Linked DNA regions of Caenorhabditis elegans. The protein of the gene in region 1 purifies or fractionates together with the protein of each later gene. This does not show direct contact. Each region holds a gene or a part of one and is shown in the gene's direction. Other genes may lie near its edges. The genes, in order: hcp-6, smc-4, mix-1 and capg-2.

Region 1 (7,980 bases):
GATGTGAATTGCTCCCGTTCACTAGTTCCCAATGTCTGAAAAAAACTTGTAAAAAACACAAGATATTTGGAAATAAAACTTACATGTAGTTGTACATTACACAACTGTTTGCGCATTTCTTCTCCAATAACTCCATTCATCTGTCCAGCTGCAATACCGTCGATGATTACTCTCCGTAACAGTGGCCAATGACGATCGGAGGATGCAGCGAGTTTTCGAAAAACTAGTGATGACAGATAATTGTTGACTCCAACAAGTCGTGGTACCATGGTGGTGTACAAATCATAAATTCTGTTCAGTGAAGCACTTTGTTCCACAGCCAATTGTAATTGTCTATTATAGAACATTGATTCAATTGTGAATGCTGGCATCTTTACTTCGTTTGCTTTGGATTCATAAATTGAAACAAGATTTTCTGCGAGGTTCTCATTTGCAGCTCTGTAATGGATTCCCATTGCTTCGACGAAGAAAAGATTACAAGTGGATGTAATCGGCTTGAGAGTTTTTCCAGTAAGGCTATTCTGAATTTCATTGAGCCAAGATATAGCCACGGTGAGCTGGTGATTATAGGTCTTCTTTTGCTCGTCACTCTCTCGTTTTTCATTATCCAATAATTTAAAATCTATGATGTTTTTGATAATTAAATGAAAAGATGACAGTGCTGGTTCAACTCCAATCTCTTTCATTTCTCCAATAATTTCAGTGAACGCCTTCACACGATCTTCAAACTTTCCAGCTTTTGCAGCAGACGACAGTAATGCATTGAACGTGAAAATATCGGGTGTCATTCTGAGGGAAATCATTTCAGCTACCAATTTCTTCCCGACACTGTAGCTTGAAGCGCCAATTAATCCATTGAACGCTTCTCGGTAAACTTTTCCTTTTGCAGCTCGATGCTCCTTGTACAATTCTCTAGCTCTTTCCAAACTAGAATGATCAGAAAACTTGCATAGACCAGCAATCATTATAGAAACGGTTTCATCAGTTTTTGGGAGAGTTTCGAAAAGAAGATCAGCGACTGCACCCGATTTCCATGAGGATGTAGAATCTTCTCCAAAATTGCGCATTCCAACAAACTCCTCCCATTCTGCGAAAGGTACGTTTGACGAATTGTAATAGGTTACAAGACGGAATAGTTCCAGCTGGACTTTCTCGCTAACGTCAACGTTCTCTGATCGCATGCGTTCATACAAAATACACGAGTCTTTTACTTCTCGACTTGAAATCATTTTAAGCAGGTTATTCTCTGTCGGTTCAACTTGAAGGGGATCTGCTAGATGTCGAGGACGGAAAACCGGGAGCTGAGGTTGATCTCTGTCAAAAGCGAAGAGGGTTGGCCATTCTGTAGCTAGTTCTCGTGCAGCTCTTTTGCCAAACTCCTAAAATTATCAAACTTATTCTAATATTCCGGCAAAAATTTTACCTTCGCCATAAAATAGGTCTTTTTCGTTGACTGCGTGGAAGGAATGGTAATTGGATCGTCAATGTAGGCAAAATGTGGAGCAGTTGTGTCCGGGCCAACGGTTTCTGACAAGGCATTTAACAAATCTGTTGGAGATCTCTGGAAATATAGAAGTTCAAGTATGAATTTTTAAAAATAGTCAACCTCGATTGCTGGCTGTATTGTCAATTTTTGAGATAATGCAGGCTCAACCGACGATAAACTGCGAGTTATAACTCTGCCAAGTCCCATGCGGCCGATCATTGCCTAAAAAATATTAAGTTAAGCAAAGAAAGATGAAAAACACTCAAAACGTAAAAAGCCTAAGTAAGAACCAAAAAAAAAAATCGGGTGTTAAAATGTTTTGTCCGCAGTATTGCGCGCCGTGTTTGCACCATGGCCTAGAAACACAATGGCCGTGGCCTAAAAATCTCAACGCGGTAAATTCAAACAGAGATCCTAATTTTTTTTCCTAAATATTTATTTTTAACGTTTTAAATTACCCTTATTGAAATGATTCATTTTTTATTTTAGATTCAATGTCGAATATCAACGAAAAAGATTTATCGGAGTTTCTTGAGTCAAATCTCCGGTCTCTCAACGATATTGACGATGCCGTTGCAACTTCTTCAGCAGAATGCAATTATGAAGATTATGAAGAATTCACAAATTCTGTTGACCTGACTTTTTTCGAGCAAGATCTGAGTGGAGTTCTGAAAGAGCGTATGTTGAGAATTTTGTTAGCTTCACTATTCAAAATTGTTATTTTCAGTAAAGAAACTTGCCGAAAGCGTTGTAATCTCGGGAAAGAAATGCGATATTCGGAATATTTTTGAAGAAAGTGATGTGGCGACAATGAAGTTTAATCTATTCGTCTGGTATTTTCTCGAAAACGGACAGAGATCTGACAGTTCGGAAGAGGATGTTGATAAAGGAGTTTCTGCTGCCAGTAGTTATATTGCTATGTGCTCATTGCCTGGAGCAATCTCAGATCTTTATCAAATTGGTTTATACAATGTAAGTATACGGGTTTATTACATGTCATATAATCAATGTTATTTTTTCAGCAATGTCTGAAAATTATTCGAAACTGTTGTCATACAGTTAGGATAGGAGAGACTGTCGTTACAAAAAAATCAAGTGGAGCAAAGAAAAAGAAAGCGGGTGGAAAGTCAGACGAAACAAATGTGGATGGAGAAATGACTGTAACAACGGGAGCAGCAGATCCTATAATTGGTCCCCCTCGAATTGCTGTCGATTCGGCTGAGCGATACCTGCATCATCTCACAACCCAGTTATTTGCTTTTCTGCATAGCAACACCTTCAGTATTGATACACCAACACTCATGAGCACACTAGAAGTCGTGGAAGACATCGGCCGTTTAGATCTTGACAATCGAACCGCAGGAAGAGCGATTCGAGCGAATTCAGTCCACGAGTTCCGATCGTTGGAGCGATTTACGGATCGATACTGTGCATTTGTGCATTCTTTAGTAGAAAGCAAGTATAAAACAAGAGCAGAAGTGGTGGGATTAAAATTAAAAAAATTACAAAACAAATTAATAAGGTTAGTACAAATTTAGGCTTACGGAAGACTTATTCGCCCTCGCCTTGCGCTGATGCCATATCCAGATGAAAGCAATAAATCTTCAAAGATTTCAACGGAGAGAAAGAGATCTGGTGAATTACATGTCAATTTAATTCTATCACGAATTTCAAGAAATCCCGAAGCAAGAGAGTTGAAGTATATTCAGACAGTGAGCAGTTTCTTCGAAATATTTTATTAACTTATTTTTAAATTTTAGGTTACTGTGATGGTGTATTCACAATGTCCAGATCTAGCCGAGTTTCGAACAAATATCGCCACGTTTATCCACAAGATTCTCGAAGCTCTTCCATACACATATACCTATGATTTTGTCCAGTTCATGAATGTCTTGTTCAAAGGCCGCGGAGCCGGAGTAAAATCCTTGTCTACAGAGCTCTCGAGTATTCTCATCAGCAGTTTTGACTTCACCGCACCTGACCCAGGAGCTATTCCAAACTTGGACGCAGAGCAGAATGAAGAAGAGGATGAGGAGGAGGAAGGGGAAGATGAAGAAGAGGAGGAAGAAAACGAGCAGGATGATGTTGCAGTCAAAGAGGAAGAACAGTCGGATAAATCAGACGAAGAGAATGATGGCGATAACGAGGAGAATGTTTCTAAAAAGAAAGAAGAGAAGAAGAAAGAAAAGAAGGCGAAGGAAGTTAAAGAAGTTGGTCGAATGGATGCAATGTCTGTTCTGTATAACATCGTTTACATGGCTTGTTTGGATAAAGCTGCAGCTATGCGACTTCACGGAGCCAATAGTTTGACGAAAATCCTTCAGTCTCAATCGCATCGAGAAGCTTTCCAATTGTTCTGCGCAACAATAAATGCGGAAATGGATGAAAAGTTCGGCGCAGTGGGCGACAACCTGAGTGAAAGTCTTGAAGATTTAAATGTTTCTGGTAAAGCACCAAGTAGTAAAACAAAAAAGCCAACGGATCTACTTCTCGACGAGCAGCAAATCATTCAAAAGTTCAATAAGTTGAAACTGATGAACAAGGGAGAGACACGCGTTGAAAAGGATATAGTTTATATGATCGTGCGCCGACTATCAACTGACGACAAGGCTCCGGTCAAGAAGGCTGCGTGCTCGCTTCTCAAATCATATCTATCATATTGCGACGAAGCATCGAAATTTGAAGTTGTGCTTTCAATTCTTCAAATGTTATGTCGAGACAGAATGGTTTCAGTCAGAAAAACTGGAGCCGATGCGTTTACAGAACTTATGTTACGAGATGCAATCCTTTTCAAGTAATTGTAATCTTTGACGAAATTTAAAACAAATTTTATTTTCAGAGAAAGTCTCAGTTCAAAATGGCTTCACACCTTGATCTCGATGCTGAATGATACAGATAATGACGTCACTGAACATGCCAGAAAGTTGATTATGGTATGGGCTTAATTATTTATAATAGAAGCTTAATTTGTTTCCAATTTCCAGAAAGTTCTCACTCCCTTACTCGAAAACTCATCGGATCTCACATGGACGCTGTTAGATACAATTGAATCTGTCACCAATCACCGTCAATACCTCATGAGCACATTGAAAGATGCAGTTCGTGAAAAACTCGTCAAGCGCACAGTAATGGATTCGATGAAGCAGCACATTATTAGTGGCAGTGAGAAACTGGATGGCGCATGGATGGTGTTCTCGCAGTTGTGTGTTCAGTTTGAACAGAACGTTGATTTTGCGATTGAGACGTTCAGCAGAGTTGACTTGTCTCGAGAATCAAATCTCGTGCAATACATGATCCACGTCATTGAGAACAATATCAAGAAAATCGATGACGATACAAAATCAGATCTTGTGAACACTTTGCAAGGAACTTTTCGTGATTATTGCCTGCATCCATCTCATTCTAGAAGTATCTACCATTGTCTCGGAAAGTTAATGGACGGAATTGGTGATAGATCTCTTCGTACGTCTTTCTTTTAAATGTTAATTCAATTTTTATTTTCAGATGGAAAAGAGTTCAGCGATTTCGGAGAGACTCTTCTCATTAAATGTTTCGATACGATCGTGCAATCGTTTGAGATGTTCAAAGACAAAGATGAATGGAAACGAAATTCCGAAAGTCAAGAAAGGCTTCTATGTACAGCTCTCAACGTGGCATCTGAAGTATTTTCCTATTCACCACAACTTGTTCCGCGACATGAACGACTCGGAAAAACGCTTTCGCTGATTGTGAATTCCACGGAAAACGGTTCTTCTGATGCGTCGACAGTTAATCCAGATATGCCTTCTGTTCATCATACACGACCACCAACTCAGTTATCCGAAGTTCCATCATCACAGAAGTCTTCCAAGGGTGGTATGATGTCCCATGAAGGTGCCATGTTCAGTGATAAAGTCCGTGCAGTTGGAGTCGTCACCTTGGCGAATATGATTTTGGCGCACGATCGTCTATTGAAACTGATGCCGATGCTTGTGAAACAGCTTCAATACAATACAGCTCATCAAATTCGGTCTAATATCGTACTAGCCATTGGTGATATTTGTTCATCCTACAAAACAGATCGATATGCGCCAATGCTCGCTGCATCGTTGTGTGATCCTTCAGTTATTGTTCGTCGACACGCCATCAATCAGATTGCTCGACTAATCTCGTTTGGTATTTTTCGGTTTAATGGAGAAATCATGATCCGTATGATGTTAGCTTCTCTTGACGCCAATGAAGATGTTCGGAATGACGCAAAACTTTACATTAGTGAGGTTCTCCAATCTGAAGAGCCCAACTTCTTCCCTCTCAACTTTGTACAGTACATGATTGCACTTACGCAAGCTCGACGATTGGTTGGAGTTGGTCACGATGAAGATGACAGAGGACAAGTTGATGTTGCTATTGGAGGTGGTGATCCATTGGCTAGACCATCCAGAATTGCCATCTACACGTTCATGATTGATTCTTTGGATGATCGTTCCCGATTTGATGTGAAAATGAGCATTTGTCAGCGTATCTTTACTCCGATTGTCAATGGAGAGTACGATTTCAGCGATTACAATGTTCAATGCCTACTTGACGATGCTCTTTTGGTAACTAAATAATACAAATGTTACAATTTTATCTTAATTTTCGCATTACAGATAATGGCTTCAAACGAAATGCAAGTGAAAATGGACGTCGGGAAGAATCCTAATGAAAATGCGATGGATGATCCATCTCCCGAAGTTTTGGAAGCTGCAACCGGCTTCATGCAAAAAGTATATCTGGATCACTACATGAAAACCATCGTACCTTCTATCCTATCTCTTCGTGAATTTCTCAATCAACATCGCTCGCCGCTCCAAAGAAAGTGTCTTCTCGCGATTCGAATGATATGTATTGAACACAAGAACGATATAGACGAAATACTTCAAGACAATCGTCAATTGAAGGACGAGATGATGTTTGAATTGCAAAGAGTTAAACAGAGAACAGAGGAGGCGAATAGAATTCTCGACGAGTATTTGAAGAGAGTCGCTGAGTTTAAAAAGCAGCAGAAGAGACTTTCGAAATCGCCGGCGCCAATGGAACTCGATGCTGAGCCAGTTCAAGAGAGTGCTGAAGCTGTTGAGATGGGGTCACCTGCTAGAAGAATCGAGGAAGATCAAGAAAACGTGGAAGAAGAAGTAGAAATGAGAACTCCACAGAAGAAGAACCCGGATGCTGATGTGCCCAGAACTCCATTAAATGCTCTCCGAAGTACCACAGAAGAGAAGTCTACTCCGAATGCGAGACTATTGTCACCAAAAACTATTAAAAAGATTCGTCGCTCTCTGGGAGCACTTATTCACACTGAAATGCGCCTTAATCCTCCAAATTTGGAAGAAACCAAGATAGATGATACGACGATAAACCGTTCTAAACAGGCCGACAAGACAGAAGAGAAGACCATTGTAGAGGAGGAACCAATGGAAGAGGCAGCCGCCGAGAAAACTGTGACAGCCGAAAATGATCATGTTGATGCGGAGAAAACTGTGATAGCTGTTGAAATACCTCCAGCTACAGAAGCTGAAGAGGACGAGGTGGTCGATGTGCAATCGGAATCTAGAAGATGTATGTATATGGTTGAGCGGAAATTTGGATGAAAGGGAACTTAGCTTAGATAAATCTAATAAATTAGATTTTTTTTGCACAAGAAAAATTCTTTCGAAACTGGAGAAATAATTTTGGTTTTAATTTTTTGGTTGTTGCAAAATCTGATAATTTTGGGCATTTGTGAACTAGATACAATTCCGAGTGTTATTTTTCGACAGAAAATTATATTAATTTGTTAGTTAACGACAGGCTTTTCGCTCACTTTTGATTGAAAAAAACTACAATGCATAATCGTCGAAAACAATAAACAATACTAAAAAAAACGTCTGAATTCAAAAATTATTCCAGCTCGTCGTAGAAAAACGCCAAATTACGATGATGAAGAGTCTGTGGATGCTGATGGAAAAATATGGAAGAAGCCGAAAATTGTCAACAGTAAGTTATTTTTCCTGATTTCATTGTTCAATTTGCTGTATTTTATTGACCACGCTTTCACACAAGAAAAAATGTGTTTTAAATAATTTATTTTCTTGAAGAATCCCCGGAAAAGGAAGTCAATATTTCGGCCAACGTCACTTTGCGTCGTAGTCGTCGGGGTCAGTCAACAGAGCCACCAGTCGTGAAAGAGAATTCTAATCGAAAACGGAAATCTGTTGACGAGGAAGAGGAAAATGTGCCAACAAGTTCATCTGGTAACACTGAAAATGATCCACTGTCACGCGGAGTGACTCCGTTGATTTTCGATGAAAGTAAGCTTGGTGCAGGACGTCATTGTTCAACTCCGATTCGATCACGAGAAGACGCAGATCCAAGCGATGTCACATTCTCCCTTAATTTGTCGGCTATTACCGAAAAGGAAGACTTGAAAAACAGAAGTAAGGTATTCACAATTTCTTGAATTTACAAAACGCCTTAATTTTACAGAAAGTCAA
Region 2 (7,898 bases), on another chromosome or scaffold:
TAGTTTGAAAAAGTATTTTATCAAGCACCTTATGCATTTTATTATTCGGTTTTCTGTAGGGAAGCAAGACGACTCGCTGAAATTTGGTGGGCAAAAAATTTGAGATTTTTTCCGCAAACCATGTACGTGCTGCAGAAACTTGATCAGAAAAATCCAGATGGGTTTAATTACACTGATTTTGAGGAAGAGGTTCAGGTAATAATTTAATCTTATTGTTAAACAAGGGAGAAATTTAGTACGTTTAGAAAGTGATCCCAAGGTCCTGGATACAGAACCATCATTCATTTACACTCTTGTCGCTGTTGAATGAAGAGAGCCTTTACGTGAAGTTCAACTTGATAATGCCCTCGGATTCTGAGAATATGAACAGAGTAAGCTATTATATTTTGATTGGTCAAGAAAGTAAATCAATATTTTTAAGGTGAAGGTCAACCAAGTAATTAAATTTCTCGGTTTCCATGAAATTGGAGACTGTGAGTTTTCTATGATCTATCAATATGTTAGTTCAAAGTCCGCTTCAGAATCTACATACAGCATCCACAAAGTGAGAGTTTTTTTAGTGGATTTCTTTTCAACTTCGAATTTTCAGTTCATGTGTGAAGACTTTCCGGGATGGGAGACACAATACAATAACGAAAAGAAAAGCATGGATAGGATCTTTGAGATAATTATTCAGGAGCAAAAAGTAAGAATGATTGAACATATATGAGAAAACATTTCAATGTTTTTCAGTTATTTTGGACGGAATATGATTATCATACATACAAACGCCATGCATACAAGATTGCTGTCCCGATGGTCTTCTCGCTTAACATTGTAGACAAAGCTGTTGGAGTTCGAAGTGATGCTCGCTAGCTAGTTAATGATAGCCCTGTCTTTCCCGTTCAACTCGATCTCTTTGAAAAAAATTCATTAAATCACATCAGAATCGCTCGAAAAAAAAATTTGAAGCTTTCAAGACAATCCCCAAAAAAGCATGCTCAAATCGTTATTTTGGAATCTTCAAATTTTCGGAGCATTTTTTCTTATTACGATGTTTTTTTCCTTAGCCAAATCTGTTTGTATGTATTTATCAGTTCCCGTTGATTTAATGTTTAGTTGGTAGAAATAAATATGAATAAAGTTTTAAGTTTCAATGTTTCGCAGTTGAAGAATTCGTAGAATCCACAATCCATCCTCCAAAATCGGGAGTTATTTTGTCAATGGCCAGTGTGAAGAAGCACGGAGTTTCAGCCGGATGAAGAGATCGAACACGCTGAAATTGAATGAAAATCTTAGTGATCCGAAATAAAAACATACAGCTGATAGCTCTTCGACTTTGCTTTCTACAGTTTTCAAGATCACGACATGCTCTTGATCTTCTTCAATTTTTCCTTGCCATTTGTATCTGAATATCTGGATTCTCGCACAGATTTAAAAAAGATAAAATACTTACACAGATGTGACTTCCGGAATAACATTGGCGCAAGCGGCTAATGCTTCAGTGACAGTTGTTCTGAAATGAAATTATGTTTTGGTAGACAGAAAACAAAAAAATACCTTGCCACAGTCATTGCAACTTCCTTACTCGGAGCTGTCACATACGCGACAACCATTTTTACAGCGGGTGTTGTCATTTTTATTTGAAAACTTATTTTATGTTGAAGCAATTCAGAAATGTTTAATTAATTACCGTACTTCATTCTAGCTCTCGTCGTATAATTAAATGTATGGGTCGCACTTGCGCGTCACGGTGTTTGCACACACTTGTATGCGCGCCAAAATTTTGTTCGAATTTCACCGCCAATAATTGTTTAGCCGCTGCTGTCCCACTTTTTGTTTTTGTTGGGAAATGTCTTTTTCATATTAAGCACTCAAATCCTAAAAATCAACGTATTTTAGGGTTGATGCCTCCGAAGACTTCGGCGGCGCCGCCACAATCAGACGAATCTGATTCTGATTTTGATGACGCTCCTGTTAAAAAGCCGCAGAAAAAGACAACGAAGCCTGTGAACCGACACAAGGAAGGATCAAAGGACCCGGAAGAAGAACTACAGGTATCCCTCTCAGAATATTTAAAAGCAGCAATAAAACTGAAATTTTTATTCAGAGAGCGGTAAATGAAAAATTTGATGGAAGCGACGGAGAGGACGACGACAGTGATCTTTTCTCATTGGTATGTTACTCTGTTTTTAATATTAAAGTCATTACATTTTACAGCAACTGCCATCGCGACCCGATTTCCTTACAAAACCGAATCGGGCGGATCGTTTGATGATTCGCAATGTTGAAGTGGACAATTTCAAGAGTTACTTCGGCAAGGCTTCCATTGGACCATTTCACAAAAGTTTCACATCAATTATCGGTCCAAATGGATCTGGAAAGTCTAATTTAATCGATTCGCTCTTATTCGTTTTCGGTTTCCGTGCTTCCAAAATTCGTTCTGCAAAAGTGTCAAATTTGATTCACAAAAGTGCTGGAAGAAATCCAGACAAATGCACAGTCACTATTCATTTTCAGCGGATCGTCGATATTGTAAGTGAATCAGAGAATCTAATAAAATATAAATTTGCTTTTTTTCAGCCTGGGCATTACGAAGTCGTCAAGGATTCTGAGTTCACAATCTCTAGAACTGCTTTTCAAAATAACTCAAGCTCATATGCTATCGATGGTCGACCGGCAACGAAGAATGAAGTTGAAGCACGCCTACGACGCGTTGACATTGATATTGAGCATAATCGTTTTCTAATTCTTCAGGTAAAAGTGACAATAAAACCGGTAATAAACATTTTTTTCAGGGAGAAGTCGAACAAATTGCAATGATGAAACCAGTGAAAACCACCAAAAGTGAAACTGGAATGGTTGAATATTTGGAGGATATTATCGGAACAAACCGACTCGAGCCCTTTGTTAAATTATTCCAGCGACGCGTCAATCGTCTTACTTGTGATCTTTCTCAACAAAGAATCGCTCGTGATCACGCCAGAAACAGCAAAGTAGCTATGGAGAATCCAGTTAGAGCTGCAATTGAGTTTCTGATGAAAGAAAACGAGGCTACAACGATTCATATGAAATTGGAGCAAAGAAGACGGTAGTTCTGAAATATTCCAGGTTAAAATAACATTTAACGTTTTAAGGCAACGATACCTAGATAAAATTGCTCCAAAACAAGCCGAACTTGACAAGATGAAAGAAGAAATGAAATCGATTGCTGAAACGCTGGATACCAACAAAAACGAATACAAACAATCTGAGGAAGCTCAGAAAGTTATGATTGAAGAGCGTTCGAAACTCGACAAAAACTTTGATAGTCTATCTAAGGAATTGAGCGACTTGGGCACTGAAGAGACTCGCAGGAAGGAGGCTTTGAAAAGGCATCAAGCTAATATTTCAAAGGCGGAAGCTGAGAAGGAAAAAGAGGTTAAAAAGCGATCAAATCTGGAAGCAGCACCCGAAAAGGCGGAGAGAAAAATCGCAAAATGTCAGGAAGAAGTGGAACAGTTGCTTGAAATAGAGAAAACAGCTAACGAGGAAGCCGACAAGAATCTTGATGAATTTGAAAAACGCTCTGAAGCGCCAAAAGAAGAACAAAAGAAGATTCAAGAGACTTGGGCGCAGAAGAGCAACGAATTTAACAAAGTTCGAGGTGAAGCAAGGATTGCACGGGAAGATTTCGAGGATTTAAAGAAGCTCGCGAATTCTGGAACGGATAAGCTTATCGAACTGAAGAAACGATTAGAATCTTCAGAAGAAAGTTATGCGAAAGAGAAGGATGAGTTAGATAAGCTGAAGCCGGAATTTGATTCTTGGAATGATAAGTTAAAACAACTGAGTACAGAATTGCCAACTCTTCGAAATACGGCAAGACAGAAGAATCAAGATGTAGGTTTTCAAAAAGCCTGATAAATTTAAATAAATCCTATTTTACAGTTGGCAAAAACGCGTGATCGTCTCGAAACTCTTCGCCAGCAAAACTCGTCTTGCTCAAGTTCGAATAAAGTTATTCAAGCCTTAATGAAGGAAAAAGAAGCTGGAAGAATTAAAAGTTTTCACGGTCGTCTTGGTGATCTCGGTGTCATTGATCCGAAATATGAGGGAGCGATTTGCACAAATTTCGGGGCCCGTCTCAACTATCTTATTGTAGGGAAAGAAGAAGATGCAAAAAATGTCATCAATTTTTTAGTTGCTGTAAGTTTTATAACCCTCATTTTCTAGGAATACATTGGTTTTCAGAATAAATTACCTCGACAAACTGTTCAGCCATTGGACAAAATTAAGTGTGATAAGAGAGATTTAGCTCCCAATCCGACGAACCCATTACCTGCTCCTCGTCTTATTGATCTGATTGATTGTGATCCTGTTCTTAAACCAGCATTCTATGATATGGTGCGTAGTGCAATTGTGGGCGATTCTACCCAGGAAGCTCAGCGAATGCATAGAATGCCCGCTTGTCGTGGTGTTACCGTGTGCACACTAGAAGGTTCTATGATTCACCCATCTGGATCATTCACAGGAGGTGGAAAAACAGTGAAAGGTCTCATTCTCACGGATAAAAATAAGATGGCTAAACAAGTGACACCTGAAGATAAAGCCGCTGAACGAGATTTAGCTGAAAAACTTGGAAAATTGAGAGATGAAGCTGATGAACTTAAAGGACAAGAGCATGAAGTAAGATATTAAAGGATAAAAATATAAAATATAACAAACCGATTTTTAGATGGACGGACAGCTAATCGAAGCACGTCGCAAAGTCGCTGAAATGAGTAATCGTTTGTCTATTGTGACTTCTTCAGTTCAATCTGCAGCTCCAGCAATTGAAACCCTCAAGAAAACGATCGCAAATCAAGAAAAAGAAGCAGCGAAAGTTAAGGTGGATGCGAAGACATTAGAAGATAAACAGAAGATTGTTGAGGAGCTCGAAAAAAGTAATTTTCCGTCATATCATCATGATTTGGGTAATATATTTCATTTCAGAACGAGATGAGTTGGGCGAAGAAGCTGCGAAAGTAAAAGCTCGTCAAGCTGAAATTCAGAGTAAGCTTGACGGAATCTTCAAGGAACTTGTACAATGTCATCGAGACGAAGCCAAAGAGTCTCTTCAGAAACGTCAAAAACTTGAGAAGGATATCGCCAAAGAAACTGCAAATATTTCCAATTCGGGCAGAAACATTGCAAAGTGCGATGAGAACATTTCCAGACACGATAAAGACATTGAGAAGATGAAGAAAAAGTGCGAAGAATTGATGGAGAAAGCAATCGATGATGAGGAAGTGAAATCGAAGAAAGAAACGGTTGAGCGCTTTGAAAAGCAAATCAAGAAGTTACAGACAAAAGGAGAGGAAATGACGAAGAAACAATCGGAATTGTCAGCTGCAGAGACGAAATTGGAGGGAGAATTGAAAAAGTGCAGTGAGGGAATAAAGGAGTTGAAGGAAAGTATGTTGGCAGATCGATTAAAGGTTGAGGATATTGAAAAGAAGGTTTGTTATTAATAAAAATCTATTAAATTAAATGTTCTTTTTTTACAGCTCGCTGCTTTGAAAGTTAATCGAATCCCACGATTCCAATTTCTCATCGAATCAAGTCGGCCAGAAGATCTCGAAATGCAAATCGATGATAAAATGCCGGTGGTTGATGAAAATCAGAGTCCAGAAGAAGTTGAACGACAAAAGAAGCATATGGCCTGCGTGATGAGTGACGCCGCGTACGCTCTCGAGTTCGAAATGCGACAGAAAGTGTTGGAAAACACTGAATCGTATGAGAATGTCGACGGAGAGGACCGGGTACCGGTCGAGCTTCTGTCCGACGAGAAAATCAACGAGATTTCGAGCCGAGACGCTGAAGAAATGCAAATGAAGCTGAAAGTGTGTGAACAACAAGTGGAAGCATTGAAAGCTAAAGTTGATATCTCATCGATTAAAGCTTATGTTGATAAGGTCAAGCAATACAATGAACAAGTGATCAAGTTGACAATAGCCACAGAAGTACATCGAAAACATAATCAAGAACTTCAACGAATCAAGCAGATGCGACTTGAAGAATTCCATGTAAGAAATCAGACGTTGATAGGTTTCTGATTAATTTTTAAAAAATATTTCAGTCTGCATTCGAATTCATTGGAAAACATTTGGTTGCCGTTTTCAAAATGCTAACTGACGGAGGAGATGCCAAATTGGAATACATTGATAAAGACGATCCATTCCGACAAGGAATCAGTTTTATGGTTCGCCCAGCGAAGAAAGCTTGGAAGCAAATTCAATTCCTTTCGGGTGGAGAGAAGACATTGTCCTCATTGGCTCTCATTTTTGCGCTCCACATGTTCAGGTACTAAATACTTTCTTTAATAATTATTATAATCCCTCGTTTAGACCTACTCCATTCTACGTTATGGACGAAATCGATGCTGCTCTCGACTATCGTAACGTTTCGATTATTGCCCAATACGTCCGACAAAAGACTGAAAACGCGCAGTTTATTATTATTTCTTTGAGAAATAATATGTTTGAACTCGCCAATCGTCTCGTTGGTATCTATAAAGTTGATGGGTGTACTCGTAATGTAGCCATTGATCCATTGAGAGTTTGTGAGATGGCGAAGCAAATTACGGACAGTTTGGGGCAGGCCACGTGTACTCTTCCTGATGAAGTAACTCAACGATTCAATGAGACAATGAGTCGGCAGAATAAGGAAATGATTGCACAAGAAAAACAATATCCGAACTTCCCATCATCAAATGAGATTTCAAAGGCCGAAAAGATTGTTAACGTTGAAGGACGTGTCAGGAAAGAATTGATTCAAACTACCCGAGATGTCACTTCAAGACCACAATCCAAAGCAACGACAAGTGGCGATGGAACTGAAAGACCGGCTAGTCGGTCAGCAAGTCGACCCGAATCTCGTATAAATCGTAAGACCAATGGCGTATTTATTATGAAAATGAAACAACTTATTTTTAGAAATGAAATATCCTGCTCCACGCCTTGTCGAAAGATCGTCGTCACAGAATGTTCGTAGCCCGAGAAAGGCACGAAACATAGAGGCCGATGAGGTTAGTTTCATTAAAAAATTTGAGACTCATTTTATTTCCCATTTTCAGACTACTCCACCTTCAAAGCGTTCAAATTCCGCAAGTACACCAAAACGATCTCCAATGAAACCGTTGACACCGTCGAGTAAAAAGAAGGAGAAGGCAATCGTTGATGACGATGATGATATGGAATAATTCATTCAAAAAAGTTCTATCCTCTTTTGTTTTGACGGGTATTAGTTCTCTGATCCCTCGACTCTTCCGTTTATTATTATTTTAAACTCGCGCAAATGATACTCATGTGCAATTCTTTAACCTCTCCCTGTTCAAGAAATCTCTCCCTTTTCCTTTTTATTTATTCTTATTCTCAATTATATTTAATTTGAGGGCCAAAGTTTGAGCCATTTTGCGTTGTATTTTTTTTTCGGCTCCAAACTGTAATTTAATGATATAATTGAGCTATGTGTCTTTTCGTTTGAAATAAGAACGTTTATCGGTGAAGCGTTGACTAGTATATCCCTCATGGTTAATCTGATTCAGATTTCCATTTTCACTATTTATTTTGTGGATTTTCACTGTAACTCGTGTTATGCATGTAATTTCAGATATGTCTACTTCTTCACATACCGTACTTCTGATTCAAACATCACCACGTCTTGATTCACGGACTTGGGGAGATTATGAGAGTGTAACTGACGCTCTTGATGGTAACCATTCCGTGAGAATTATTATGTTTAATGGAATTTTTCAGCTCTTTGCAAGATGTTTGAAGATTTCCTTTCCAAGAAATCAGCTGCTCCAGTCACATACGACGTGTCGCAAGTCTACGAGTTTCTCGATAAGCTCTCCGATGTTTCTATGATGATCTTCAATCGCGTATGTATTATTGATC
Region 3 (4,812 bases), on another chromosome or scaffold:
AAGAATATCAACTGCTTTGCTCATCAAGAACTATAATCTTCTCACGAGTACATGAATCACAAGCTGGTAGCCGAATAACAATGTACGATGGCTCCTTCTGGTAGACCTTCTTATCACAAATCGGGCAACAAAAGTTCGGAGTATGTACTAGATGTGGTCCGTCGACGACAGGAGCCAACTGATACGACTTTTTCAGAACTGGAGGGCACAGATCATCGTTGGCTGATCGCTTTTGAGCAGCATTTCGAACTGAAGCCATATCCGTCCTCCGGAGCAAGACGGGCGGAGCAACTTGTTGATACTCGTGATCACTTCGGTCTCGCTGGGGTACGAGCATCTGGTCGATGGTGGCGTACGCGAATTCTCCATTCATTAATTGGATCTGAAATTTCAAAGCTTTAAAAAATATACTTTATAGAAGTTTTATGAGCATTTTTCTTCGTTTTTTCTAGAAAAGCTCTGTTTTGATCCAAAAGTTGAAAATAATTACATTTTATCGGATCAAAACAGAGCTTATCTTGCCTAATTAAACAGAAAAAGTAAAGAGTTTCTCACCTTGTACTCCGAATCGCCTCGAACATATTTGACAACCGCATCTTGAAGACGACCATCAGCTGTCCGAATTTGAACGGTTTCTCCAATTATTGGGCTTCTTGTAGATTCTAAAATAATTTGGATAATTAAAATTAGTTCAAATAAGCTTCTGAAACTCACTTCCAGCTTCCAACTGTTCATGATGATGATGGTGATAACTTGTTGATGGAGCCTGATCGTTGTATGCAGAATCTTGAGCTTTTTCTTTTCTAAAAATAATAAAAATATAGTTAAAATTCTACGTGTTGACCTACATGGGCGGTAGAGCAAGTTGCACAAGTTGATGGACATTTTCAGTGCTTAAATTGTTTAAATCAATGTTCAAATTGGCGATTTCGGAGGGGGAAACATAGAATTGCTTCTGTTTTGATGTAATATTGACTCCACCATCATTTGTCAGAATAATATGCATTGCATTATCGATTATCTGACCATTCCCATCATATTCTTCCTCCGGCCCATTTCCATCACCTTCAAATTGATTTTCAATCATTTCGTGATGAACCATGTGATGATGTGAACCATCTTCTATGACAACTTCTTCATTGTGCTCTTGCTCGTTTTGTTTCGCCTGTCGTTGTTGACTAATCGCCACCACAATGTTCAGCTGCTCTTCGGTGAGATGATTAAGCTCAAAGCCTGCTTCTACATCGAAACCCGCTTCGTACATGTCTTCCTGCGTGATTTGAACCATATTCTGAAATATAAATATTCTTTCAATTCATCGAAAAGCTTGAAATACCATAAACTGTTGATCACCATCCTCCACAATCATATCTCCTTGTTCAAGATCTTCCGGCTGCTGCTGCTGCTGCTCAACAATTTCTTCTTCATGCTTAGCACTTTCAACTCGAAGTGGGGCCTGATCCTCGTGGAAAATATGATCTTCATCGGCAGGATATACACCTTCTGGGGAGGATCTGGAAATTCCATTTATTAATTTGAAAGAAAATGTGATTTTTATTCTTACCCAGGAATTTCTTCTTCACGGCCTGTTGTTGGGCTAGCAGGATTTTCTTTTTCGGAATCCATATCTGCAACGATTTTCGTTGTTTAATAAAAATTAAAAAATAAAAATTAATAAATGACTCTAAATTATAGCGAAGGAGAAAAAACAAAGGAGAAAAAAATTACAAAAATCACAAGGCAACTTTTGCGCGTCAAATCTCATACATTCCAGTCCGCAAACACTCTCACGCCACTCTGCACACTTCTCAAAAGACGCGCCAAAAAACATTCAAAGCTCATTCGGCTTTCGAAATAAACATTTTCTCAAACTCGTTATCGACTTATAACTTATTTTTGTTCAAAATCAATTCGACAGGGTGCGCTCATAATGCACATTAAATCCATCCATCTGGATGGCTTTAAATCGTACCAAAAGCACACCGATATTCTCGATTTTTCGCCGACTTTCAACGCAATCACCGGTGAGTATAGTTTTGTGCTGAAAACTAATAGTTTGAAAAACTTTAATTTCAGCATAAAATATAGTATAATAATTGTTTTATTTCAGGATACAATGGTAGTGGAAAATCCAATATTCTCGATTCGATCTGCTTCATTATGGGAATCAATAAGCTCGATAATATCAGAGCAAGTATGTGGCTCTTTCTCATCACAAAATTATTTTGTTGTCATAGTGATACTTACGCGCTTTCGGACTGAAAAAGCACAAGATCAGAGTAGCATAATATTTCTAGCAAAGATTTTTTAAATTGAAATTTAGAAAAAAAAATTAAGTCAAATATCATTCCAGAATCAATGCACGAGCTGATTTCCCATGGTGGAACAAAAGCGATCGTCCAAGTTCGCTTCGACAACACTGATAAAAGATGCTCCCCGTTCGGAATGGAACATCTCGACGAGATCGTCGTTCAGAGAATCATCACAGCTCAAGCAACTGGAAAAGGATGTGCAACGAGTTACACACTGAATGGGCATGCGGCCACAAATGGAAAAATGCAAGATTTCTTCCGTGGCGTCGGTTTGAACGTGAATAATCCACATTTTCTCATCATGCAAGGTCGTATTACTACGGTGCTAAACATGAAGCCGGAGGAAATCCTCGGAATGGTTGAGGAAGCAGCTGGAACAAAGATGTATGATCAGAAGAAGAAAGACGCGGAGAAAACAATGTTTTTAAAAGATGCAAAACTCAAAGAAGTTGATAGAATCTTCCAATCAAGTATTGATCCGAGAATGGTAAAGTTCCGTGAAGACAGAAAGAATATGGTGGAAGTGACTCGTCTCAAGAAACTCAAAGAGAACTTTTCCCGAAAATACGAGGCGTTTCAATACTTTCAAACATGTGAAGCGGTGAAAAAAAGTGCAAAAGAGATTGAAGATGCCAAAAAGGGAATTGAAGATCTCGGTGAAAAGTTTAATCAGCTTGATCTTGACTTGAAGAATAAGGAAGATGAGAAGAAAAAGATGGAAGAATCTCGAGATGATCAACATGAAGAGGCTGCACTTTCAGCGGCTCATCTTTCGAAACAATCTATAATGCTTCAGAAGGAGACTGTCAAAAATCAATTGGTTGAAACAATCAATAAACTCAAAAAGGAAGGTGAACAAATCAACAAAAGCTTGTCAAAAGATCGTGAAGTTCTCGACGCAAAACGAAAAGAACACGAAGATTCAAAGGCGGCTAACTCGAAAGATATTCAAAGTCAATCTGATGATGAAGCTGTAAGTTCGAGAAATTATTCTAAAAATAAAGTTAAAAAAAAACAATTTCAGCTCGTCACAAAATACCGTAATGACCTCGAATCCCTAACGAGAGGAACAATTGCTAATGACAAAGGAGAACATGTGTCGATTGAGAGTGAAATACAGTCTTGCAAGTCGACTGCGTCTCAAATGTCATCTGGGATTACTGCTGCGAAGAAACGGTAACTTTCCTGAGAATTGGAACAAAAAATCTAATTTTGTTTATGTCGATAAGAATAATGACAAAAATTTTGAGATATTTTAAGAAAAATCGAAAAACAAAAAGTTTCGTTTTTTCGCTTTTTGAAAACGTCAATGATAGTTTTTTTGCGGATACTTTCAATGAAATTATTCTGTCGTTTTCTCTTCAGTTTTCTGTTTAAAAAATTTTAAACCAGTTTTATACTATTTTTACATTGAAAACTGGTTTTAAACAATTTTTAAACAGAAAAATTAACATAAAACGATAAAAAATTGACTACAAACGATGTAATTTCATTGAAAAATTGCAAAAATTGAAAGAAAACACAACATCGAAAAAATAATGCATTAATTTGGAAATTCAGTAAATTTAATGGGACAAAAGAAGAAATGTACTTTTTTAAATAGGAATATCATTGAAAAATTGGCAATTTATTTCAGCGGTGAACGTCTACACAACCAAATTAAACATTTGGAAGGCGAAAAAGCTACTCTCTCAGCCAGAAGTAAATCTGACATTGGAAGTGCCGATAATTATCAAAAAGAGGTATCAGATATTTCAATTTTTTTTTCTCCGAAAACTTAAAAATATTCAGGTCGATGAGATCAATAAGCAACTTCAATTATTGGGTTTCAATATAGATGCTGATACGGAGAAACGAGAACACGCTGCAAAATTGCATGAGAGCATCACTAAGCTCAAGGATATGGATACGAGACTTCTGAATTCATACAAGTAAGGTTTTGTGTGAAAATTCATTTTAAAAGAGTTATACCGTTTCAAAATTTAAAAAAAAAAACCTATTTTCATAATAAAACCCGAATTTTGTCAATTTTTCAGTATCGCAGCGAGCGGAACTTGGTTTTTATTCAATTATCGCCTTTTTATTGCATATTTAAATATGAAAAAAAAAAAACATATATTTTTGTAGTATATTATGCGTTTTTTTTTCGTGAATTCAGGTGCATTTTCTGCACATTTTTGGTGAAATCGACCGAAAAGCCATCAACATTAACGAAAAAACGTGCAATAAAGAGTGATAATTTACTACGAACCAAGTTCCGGCCGTTATGACACTGAAAAGTTGGTAAAATTCGAGATATTAGCTTTAAAAAATAGTTTTCTTTCGGAATTTTGAGAAAACTTTTTTTAATTTTAAAACAGTTGTTTTTCAAAAATTAATGCTTTTTTTCAGCTAAAATTTCAAATTTCGCGAATTTTTTTTCGAGAGTTTCGGCATAATCAACTGAAAAAGCACCAAAATTTAGGAAAATTGCGTGATAAACTATCACAATATGCAATAA
Region 4 (6,215 bases), on another chromosome or scaffold:
GCCAAATCTAAGAACGATACAATTTAGAACAATATCGCATGTTTCAACAAAGAGCTCAGTGATACTACAGTACACCTACATCACCAATTACTCCTACAGTACCAATACAGTACCCCAAAAATATATATGTTTTCTGAGTGTTCTCAGCAGTTTTCTCGTATTTTTACTATATTACAACAATTGTTTTAAATTTTCGCGGATTGTGACCTTAAAATACATTTGATTTCGACAGAAATCCGAGTGACCATGAATTTCTGAAATAAAATAAATGCATTTTAATCGTCTTCTTGTTCAATTGTTTTCCACGGAGGAATGTTCTGAAAATTGCAAATGTTTATTTTTTAAACTTTAAATTCAATTTATATGTCGATAAATTTATTTATCGATTAACAAAACAGAGAAACAAAAGCATTCTAAAAACTAATAAGGCATGAAAATAAAGTTACTACCACTTTTATCTAATTATTCGCTTCCAAGCTCTACACGAACAAAATCGAGAATGTTAGCATTGTGGGATTTTAGGTACTCATGAACAGATTGAGATGGATTCAACATGAAGGCTTGGCGGAGAAGAGCAGTTTCCGATTCATCAATATTAGTTACAACAACTGGATCAGCATTTGGATCATGCCCTTCTTGACTACGAAGCCCTTCTTGAGTTTTCACAGATTCTGCAGCTTCGCCGAGGGATTCCGGGGACATTCCGATAATGTGCTGGCATATCTGTCCGGCAAGTTGCTGACTACTGATTGACCCTGTAAATGTTAAGACTTAATTTTTTACTTTATTTCTTTGTTTCACCTGGACTCGATTGATTTAGAGCGATGAGTGAAATGAACCGTCCCATCGGGATATCATCAGTTCCATCTTTAGGATGTGAAGCTCCAAACAAAGTTGTTCCTTCGGGAGCTTTAAAAGCCTTAACTCTTCTCACTGTCATGTTCTCACCAAGCTTTCCGATTGAAAGGGAGAGCACTTCACGCATATTTTTTCCGTCGGAATCGGTCAGATCCCCAAGATCATAGGTGAATTCTTGAAGTTTTGAGCCGCTCGATATAGATTGTGGCTTAGCTTTTGCGAGAACAGAGTTGGAGATGTTTGACAACAAATCCTTGAAAGCTCCAGATCGCGCCACAAAATCAGTTTCACAACTGAGTTCTACCACAGCTGCTGTTGAGTTGTCCGTGACTACAGATACAAGACCATTCGATGTTACACGAGTTCCAAGTCTGGAATATTCTATAACTATTAAAATAATTCCTTGTGAAGTCAACATTCCAAATTAAAAAAATTTCAAAATAAACACTTACTTTGCCGCTTTGGCCCATCCTTCCTTCGCTGCAGCTTCTTTCAACCATTTTACAGCACTATCCATATCATTTTCGCCAAACTGAATAAGTGCTTTACGACAATTCACATAACTATAACCAGTCTTTTTTCGAAGAGCCATTAGAGCCTGAAAAACAATTATTTTTTATTTTTTAAAATTAATTAGGGTTCCTAGATTTTAATACCTCTTTAGAGACTTTCTTTTCGGCCTCAGCCAAGTTTCGACTAGTCGTTGATAGTAGACGTACAAATGGAGCTCTAGCAAACATTTCTAAAATTGGAAACTTTAGTTTTCAGTCAATATTGATAATTATTTTAAGAGAATAAAGCAAATTATGCAATTTTCTGGGCATTTTTTGCATTAAAAAATGAAAAGGCAAGTGCGCCCCAATGAGAAAGACGGCCGCGCGAAAGAATTCGTTTTGAACATAACAAGGAAAATGTGTTTCTTTTTTTTTAATTGCGAGGTAAATTATATTATTGAATTATTTTATTGATTATTTATAATTATTTTTAGGTGAAAACTTTAATACTATTATTTTTTGCTATTTTTTTGTTGAAATAAATTCTATAATTCCATAGAAATTTTCAGTAAAGAGATCAATGCCGAAGAGCAATCCGGTAACACCTAACAAACAACCATCAGAAGACTGGAATGAGTTACTCACAGAGTTCCGTGGAAAAGGAGGTCGGGCTCTTCAGAAAACATTCATCAGAAAATTGTGGGCAGTTCAAGAAGATATTATTGCCAATGCAAATCCATCGACTCTTCGGTGTATTTTCTTCGCACCAGCCTTGTTGATTTGTCCGGAAGGTATAAAATTATCAGCTGAAATTCTCCCAAAAATTGGTGTTGGAAATGGACTGATACTACTCGAGAAGTTAATACTAAAGTTCAATCTCACCGAGTAAAGTTTATACGCTGAAGAATTCCATTTATATATATTTTTGCAGCACTGAATGTCAAAGGTATGGTGAAGTATTCGTCACAGCTTGGAGAAATGCATATCAGGAGGCTAACTTTGATTTGACAGAGGAATTGGAGACCGATGTGATCAGTGTCATGTGTCAGCATGCATTATATGCTCACAGGCCTACCTGCACTAAATTTCAAAATGTGATTGCCGCATTTGCACACGCGAAAAAACTGGACAAAAGTGTAGATGAAATGGTGACAAGGCTTCTCAATGGATGTCTTTACCGAGCGCTGGACGCTCCAAATTACATTGTACAGTCATCAGCTGCAGAAGTATTTTTCAATTTTTACCCACTAATTGGCGAGGATACTGAAGACATGGATAGGATAATGGAAAACCAACATCGATATATGATGGACTTATTACGTAGTGATGTTATTTCCATTCGAAGCGAAGCCACGAAACATGTCTTGAAGGCAATCAGCGAATTCTGGCTTCTTATTCCAAAAAATATCGTGAAGGAACTCATGGGATACATCATTGATACAGTCGCGAAAGACACTGTTGTCAGCGTCCGCGTCGCCGTTTTTGAAGGTCTTAATGAAATGGCATTTGTTCCGGCATGTCTCACAGCATTCGAATATGGATTGAAATGTGCCGTTGATCCAGCACTACAGGATAAATCTGAACGAGTTCGTCTTGCTGCTTACCAAATAATTTCTCGTCTGAAGAATCATAAATTTATTAGGTAAAATGAACCCAAATCAACAAACTAAAAAATAAATTTTCAGTGTGTTCGATATCATTACTCGAGATGATGCCATTGCGAAACTCGATCTGGAAAACGTAGAGACCTGCCGCCGTCAACTGATTCCAATTATGCATATTTGTCTTCCTATCTCGAAAAGTCTGGATGAAGCATACTATCGTCCTCGTGTCAACTACATGTTAGGAAAAAGTCGATTGGCTCTTTTGAGTTACTTCCGATTGCTTGGCCCAATGAAAATCATTGATGCATCCCAAGCATCCAAACTTATCGAAATGTTTATAACCTGGGCATATCGTTATCTTCGTAAAAAGGATGGCCCTCCATTACCAGAGACTGCCGAAGGATACAAAAAAGCGAGAGCTTATCTTGAGTGTGCTCTCATTCTGTACATGTCATGCAAAGGAGTTAGTTTTCTATTTCTCAAATTTAAAATTGAAGACCTTTTTTAAAACATTATAAACTTCTAAACTTTTTCAGATGCTGATGTCAGATGGCGATGGAACTTCAAAAGCGAAATGTGATCAAATATTTGGAAAAGTTGTCAAGGAAATATTTGAAAAATACGCCAACACTCCTATTCTCGGAACTGCGACAGCAATCAGCAGTGTCATTCCTAAAGATTACCTTAAATCAATTGCTAATGATGTTCTCGCAAGACTGGAAGACGACGATGTTCCTCCAGAAGCAGTTGAGCCGTTTCTTGAATCTGCAATTCATTTCAACCCGGATTCTGTTTTTGATTCATTCGATAGTGGGCTTAATGTTCTTGTAAATTTGTATGGAACGAAACAGAGTAAGAAGAAACGACGTGAATTGGAGGATCCAGAAGATGTACTGATTATGACGTTGAACCGTCTCAAATATTTGCTACAGAGTCACAGTACATCAAATCTTATTGCAATGAAAGATGAATACCGAACTAAAGTCTTGGATTTGTTGAAGGTTTGTGTATTAGTTCATTATTGAAACAATAATATTATATTTAGAAAATTGATCTAATTCGAGAAGGAATTGAAATTAGGCTTGCAAAAGAAGAAGGCCAGGAGCACACTCTCAGTGATGATGTTCTTCTGTCGATACTCGAATTTAGATTCATTTTGCCCTTTTTCGCTGCAACTAATGGATCTGAAGATGCTGCGGATCGTAACCAAACTATCGAGTCAATGAAAAACCTTCTTCTTTGGTTTGAAAAAAATATTTCAAGTCAAATGGCGACTTTTGGTGAACACAATCAAGATTTTCTCATTCAATTAACAAGTACATTCTTGAATTGTGTAAACGTGTCACTATCTGCGTATGATTTCAAAACGAGACCTGTCGAATTTGAAGATGAGGAAGATAACGAGAATCGGGATCCAAGAGAAGAAAATGATGCAGCGAAAGATCAGGCTACGGTAGCAGAAGTTATAAGCAGGTAGGGTCATACGAAAGACTTAATTCTTTAGAAATGAAATATATTTATTAAGAAAGGGATTTAAATATGGAGCAACGCCAGTGGAAAATTGCTAACAACGATTCCCATACAAAAATGGTCGAATATCATAAAAAAATTTTTTTTTAAATAAGATTGTCTTAAATCTTCATTAATATCCTTTTCACTATTTAATAATTATGGAAGCCAAAAAATGGGTTTCTCTTGAACTAAAAATTTTGAAGAACTTAAAAATCTTCGGTGTATTTAGACGATATGCCCACTGTCGCTACTCGGTATTTAACCACAGGTTTTCATTTCTTGATAGAATAACAGTGAAGTTATTCTAAATGTCTTATAAGACGTCATATATCATTTTTATTTTTCAGAATCGTCAAGTCCTTCTGTAATAGTTCCACACCTTTTGAAATCTTCCGACCAGCTCTTCGAGTGGGCACAACGCTGTGCGACGAATCTTATTCTGAAGTGCACCACGAAATGGCACTTCTTCTCAGATTTATTCCAAAATGGATGAATAAGCAATGTGATTTGATGGAAGATGATGAAGAGAACATTTTTAAAAATCATCGAGAAATTGTGGAATCTTTACGCCAATTTCACAAGAGAGTTTCTGAAACTGATTATTGGGACGAAGATTCAGCTAAACGTATGATGCATCACTTTATGTTATTCTCAATTGTATCAGCTTCTTCGAAAAATGACGACGAGGCATATGATGATCCACGCGATGAAGATTATAAACCACCACACTTCATTTCTCTTGCACTAATCAAGTTCATTCTCAAAGAAAAATCGCTAACTGAAGACATTATTGAAGAAATATCAACCAATTATATTCCCGAAGACAGCAAGTATTTTACGGCAGAAGAAGGTGAACTGAAAACTGATGAAAAACTGTCTAAACTAGCAGCACTGTCACAACTTCTACGAATTCTCGAACGATATTCAAAATTCCATGGAAAGCTAATCAAAGAAGCCATCGACAAATGCACTACAAGAGTGCTGGATTGCTTCGCGAATGCCTCAGATCTGAATACTGTAGCCCATCACATTTTGAACAGTCTTTCTTCTCTTCTTGATGTCCAACTTCCAGATGAGAACAGACTCTAACCCTATTAATCTCTATATATAATTCTTTTATTTGATCTCATTGACGTTCTATATTTTTCTGCTTTATTGTTTTTTCTTTGTAAAAGTATTTTCCTGTTTTAGTTATTAACAATGTTTTAAACAAGATTCAATGATAAATCCAGCGGATGATCTTTTCCAAGAAGAAACCGGGTCGGCCAAAATGTATCCAAACTAGTCTTCATGGAAAGTCCTGAACCAGTTAAGGTTAGTGACTCGGGCATGTGCAATTTTGGGTTGTTGTTCGAACTATGACGGTTACGGCTTCTTCGGCTGCTAAATTGTTTCCCGCAACCCGTTACGGTGCATGTATGCATTTCGCGAAGATGTACTGCTGATGTATGGATTTTGAGTGCTCCCTTGTCACAAAATGATTTCGAACAGATGTCACAGGCAACACGACGTTTCAGTTTTAGAAGTGTCGACGTCTGAAAATTTAGGTTTTAGCGGTTAATTAGTGTCTGTAGTAGTTTCTCTCTGAATTACAGAATTCCGAATATAACCGTAAAAAATTCCAAAATTTTTTATGAGTAATTTCGTGAAAATTCGACACTTTGGTTTAAAGGCACATGATGGTTTTCTGAGTGGGTCCTGCCAAGATCTCAAATTATGGCTTTTAGAGATACAGTAACCCATCCCG

What was found.
Region 2: the proteins of hcp-6 (region 1) and smc-4 purify together in Caenorhabditis elegans (affinity purification with western blotting; 3 studies listed by BioGRID, with this or other methods). This does not show direct contact.
Region 3: the proteins of hcp-6 (region 1) and mix-1 purify together in Caenorhabditis elegans (affinity purification with western blotting; 2 studies listed by BioGRID). This does not show direct contact.
Region 4: the proteins of hcp-6 (region 1) and capg-2 purify together in Caenorhabditis elegans (affinity purification with western blotting, with the first as the bait; one study listed by BioGRID). This does not show direct contact.

Annotation. Positions count from the first base shown.
Region 1 is NC_003279.8:5,163,177-5,171,156, forward strand, and holds the start of hcp-6 (Condensin-2 complex subunit hcp-6), read left to right. Parts: upstream 1-1,971; 5' UTR 1,972-1,980; coding exon 1,981-2,164; intron 2,165-2,213; coding exon 2,214-2,458; intron 2,459-2,508; coding exon 2,509-2,967; intron 2,968-3,024; coding exon 3,025-3,198; intron 3,199-3,246; coding exon 3,247-4,280; intron 4,281-4,325; coding exon 4,326-4,419; intron 4,420-4,470; coding exon 4,471-4,948; intron 4,949-4,990; coding exon 4,991-6,063; intron 6,064-6,114; coding exon 6,115-7,066; intron 7,067-7,396; coding exon 7,397-7,483; intron 7,484-7,584; coding exon 7,585-7,928; intron 7,929-7,972; coding exon 7,973-7,980. Other genes in the region: let-630 (Small ribosomal subunit protein mS39), read right to left, coding at 1-35, 84-1,379, 1,424-1,561, 1,607-1,705. UniProt on the Caenorhabditis elegans protein: Chromosomal protein which is recruited to mitotic chromosomes by hcp-3 (CENP-A) and hcp-4 (CENP-C).
Region 2 is NC_003281.10:4,585,620-4,593,517, forward strand, and holds smc-4 (Structural maintenance of chromosomes protein 4), read left to right. Parts: upstream 1-1,881; 5' UTR 1,882-1,886; coding exon 1,887-2,036; intron 2,037-2,089; coding exon 2,090-2,155; intron 2,156-2,199; coding exon 2,200-2,514; intron 2,515-2,562; coding exon 2,563-2,736; intron 2,737-2,777; coding exon 2,778-3,070; intron 3,071-3,116; coding exon 3,117-3,861; intron 3,862-3,909; coding exon 3,910-4,167; intron 4,168-4,212; coding exon 4,213-4,647; intron 4,648-4,696; coding exon 4,697-4,904; intron 4,905-4,953; coding exon 4,954-5,459; intron 5,460-5,507; coding exon 5,508-6,026; intron 6,027-6,079; coding exon 6,080-6,303; intron 6,304-6,347; coding exon 6,348-6,886; intron 6,887-6,935; coding exon 6,936-7,027; intron 7,028-7,075; coding exon 7,076-7,201; 3' UTR 7,202-7,505; downstream 7,506-7,898. Other genes in the region: F35G12.5 (SPK domain-containing protein), read left to right, coding at 1-12, 60-195, 246-371, 422-544, 590-685, 733-855; F35G12.7 (Divalent-cation tolerance protein CutA), read right to left, coding at 1,133-1,255, 1,300-1,387, 1,436-1,495, 1,540-1,616; erh-2 (Enhancer of rudimentary homolog 2), read left to right, coding at 7,614-7,713, 7,758-7,882. UniProt on the Caenorhabditis elegans protein: Central component of the condensin I complex, a complex required for conversion of interphase chromatin into mitotic-like condense chromosomes. The condensin I complex introduces positive supercoils into relaxed DNA in the presence of type I topoisomerases.
Region 3 is NC_003280.10:10,822,454-10,827,265, forward strand, and holds the start of mix-1 (Mitotic chromosome and X-chromosome-associated protein mix-1), read left to right. Parts: upstream 1-1,792; 5' UTR 1,793-1,930; coding exon 1,931-2,024; intron 2,025-2,110; coding exon 2,111-2,194; intron 2,195-2,353; coding exon 2,354-3,285; intron 3,286-3,336; coding exon 3,337-3,488; intron 3,489-3,948; coding exon 3,949-4,054; intron 4,055-4,103; coding exon 4,104-4,243; intron 4,244-4,812. Other genes in the region: R06F6.12 (uncharacterized protein), read right to left, coding at 8-382, 556-662, 715-803, 849-1,291, 1,337-1,514, 1,565-1,626. UniProt on the Caenorhabditis elegans protein: Essential protein required for both chromosome condensation and segregation and X-chromosome dosage compensation depending on its binding partners.
Region 4 is NC_003283.11:12,269,952-12,276,166, forward strand, and holds capg-2 (CAP-G condensin subunit), read left to right. Parts: upstream 1-1,921; 5' UTR 1,922-1,932; coding exon 1,933-2,237; intron 2,238-2,283; coding exon 2,284-2,994; intron 2,995-3,037; coding exon 3,038-3,419; intron 3,420-3,492; coding exon 3,493-3,957; intron 3,958-4,001; coding exon 4,002-4,429; intron 4,430-4,815; coding exon 4,816-5,557; 3' UTR 5,558-5,673; downstream 5,674-6,215. Other genes in the region: tsfm-1 (Elongation factor Ts, mitochondrial), read right to left, coding at 463-755, 802-1,229, 1,311-1,456, 1,515-1,598; bnc-1 (Basonuclin zinc finger protein homolog), read right to left, coding at 5,674-6,003.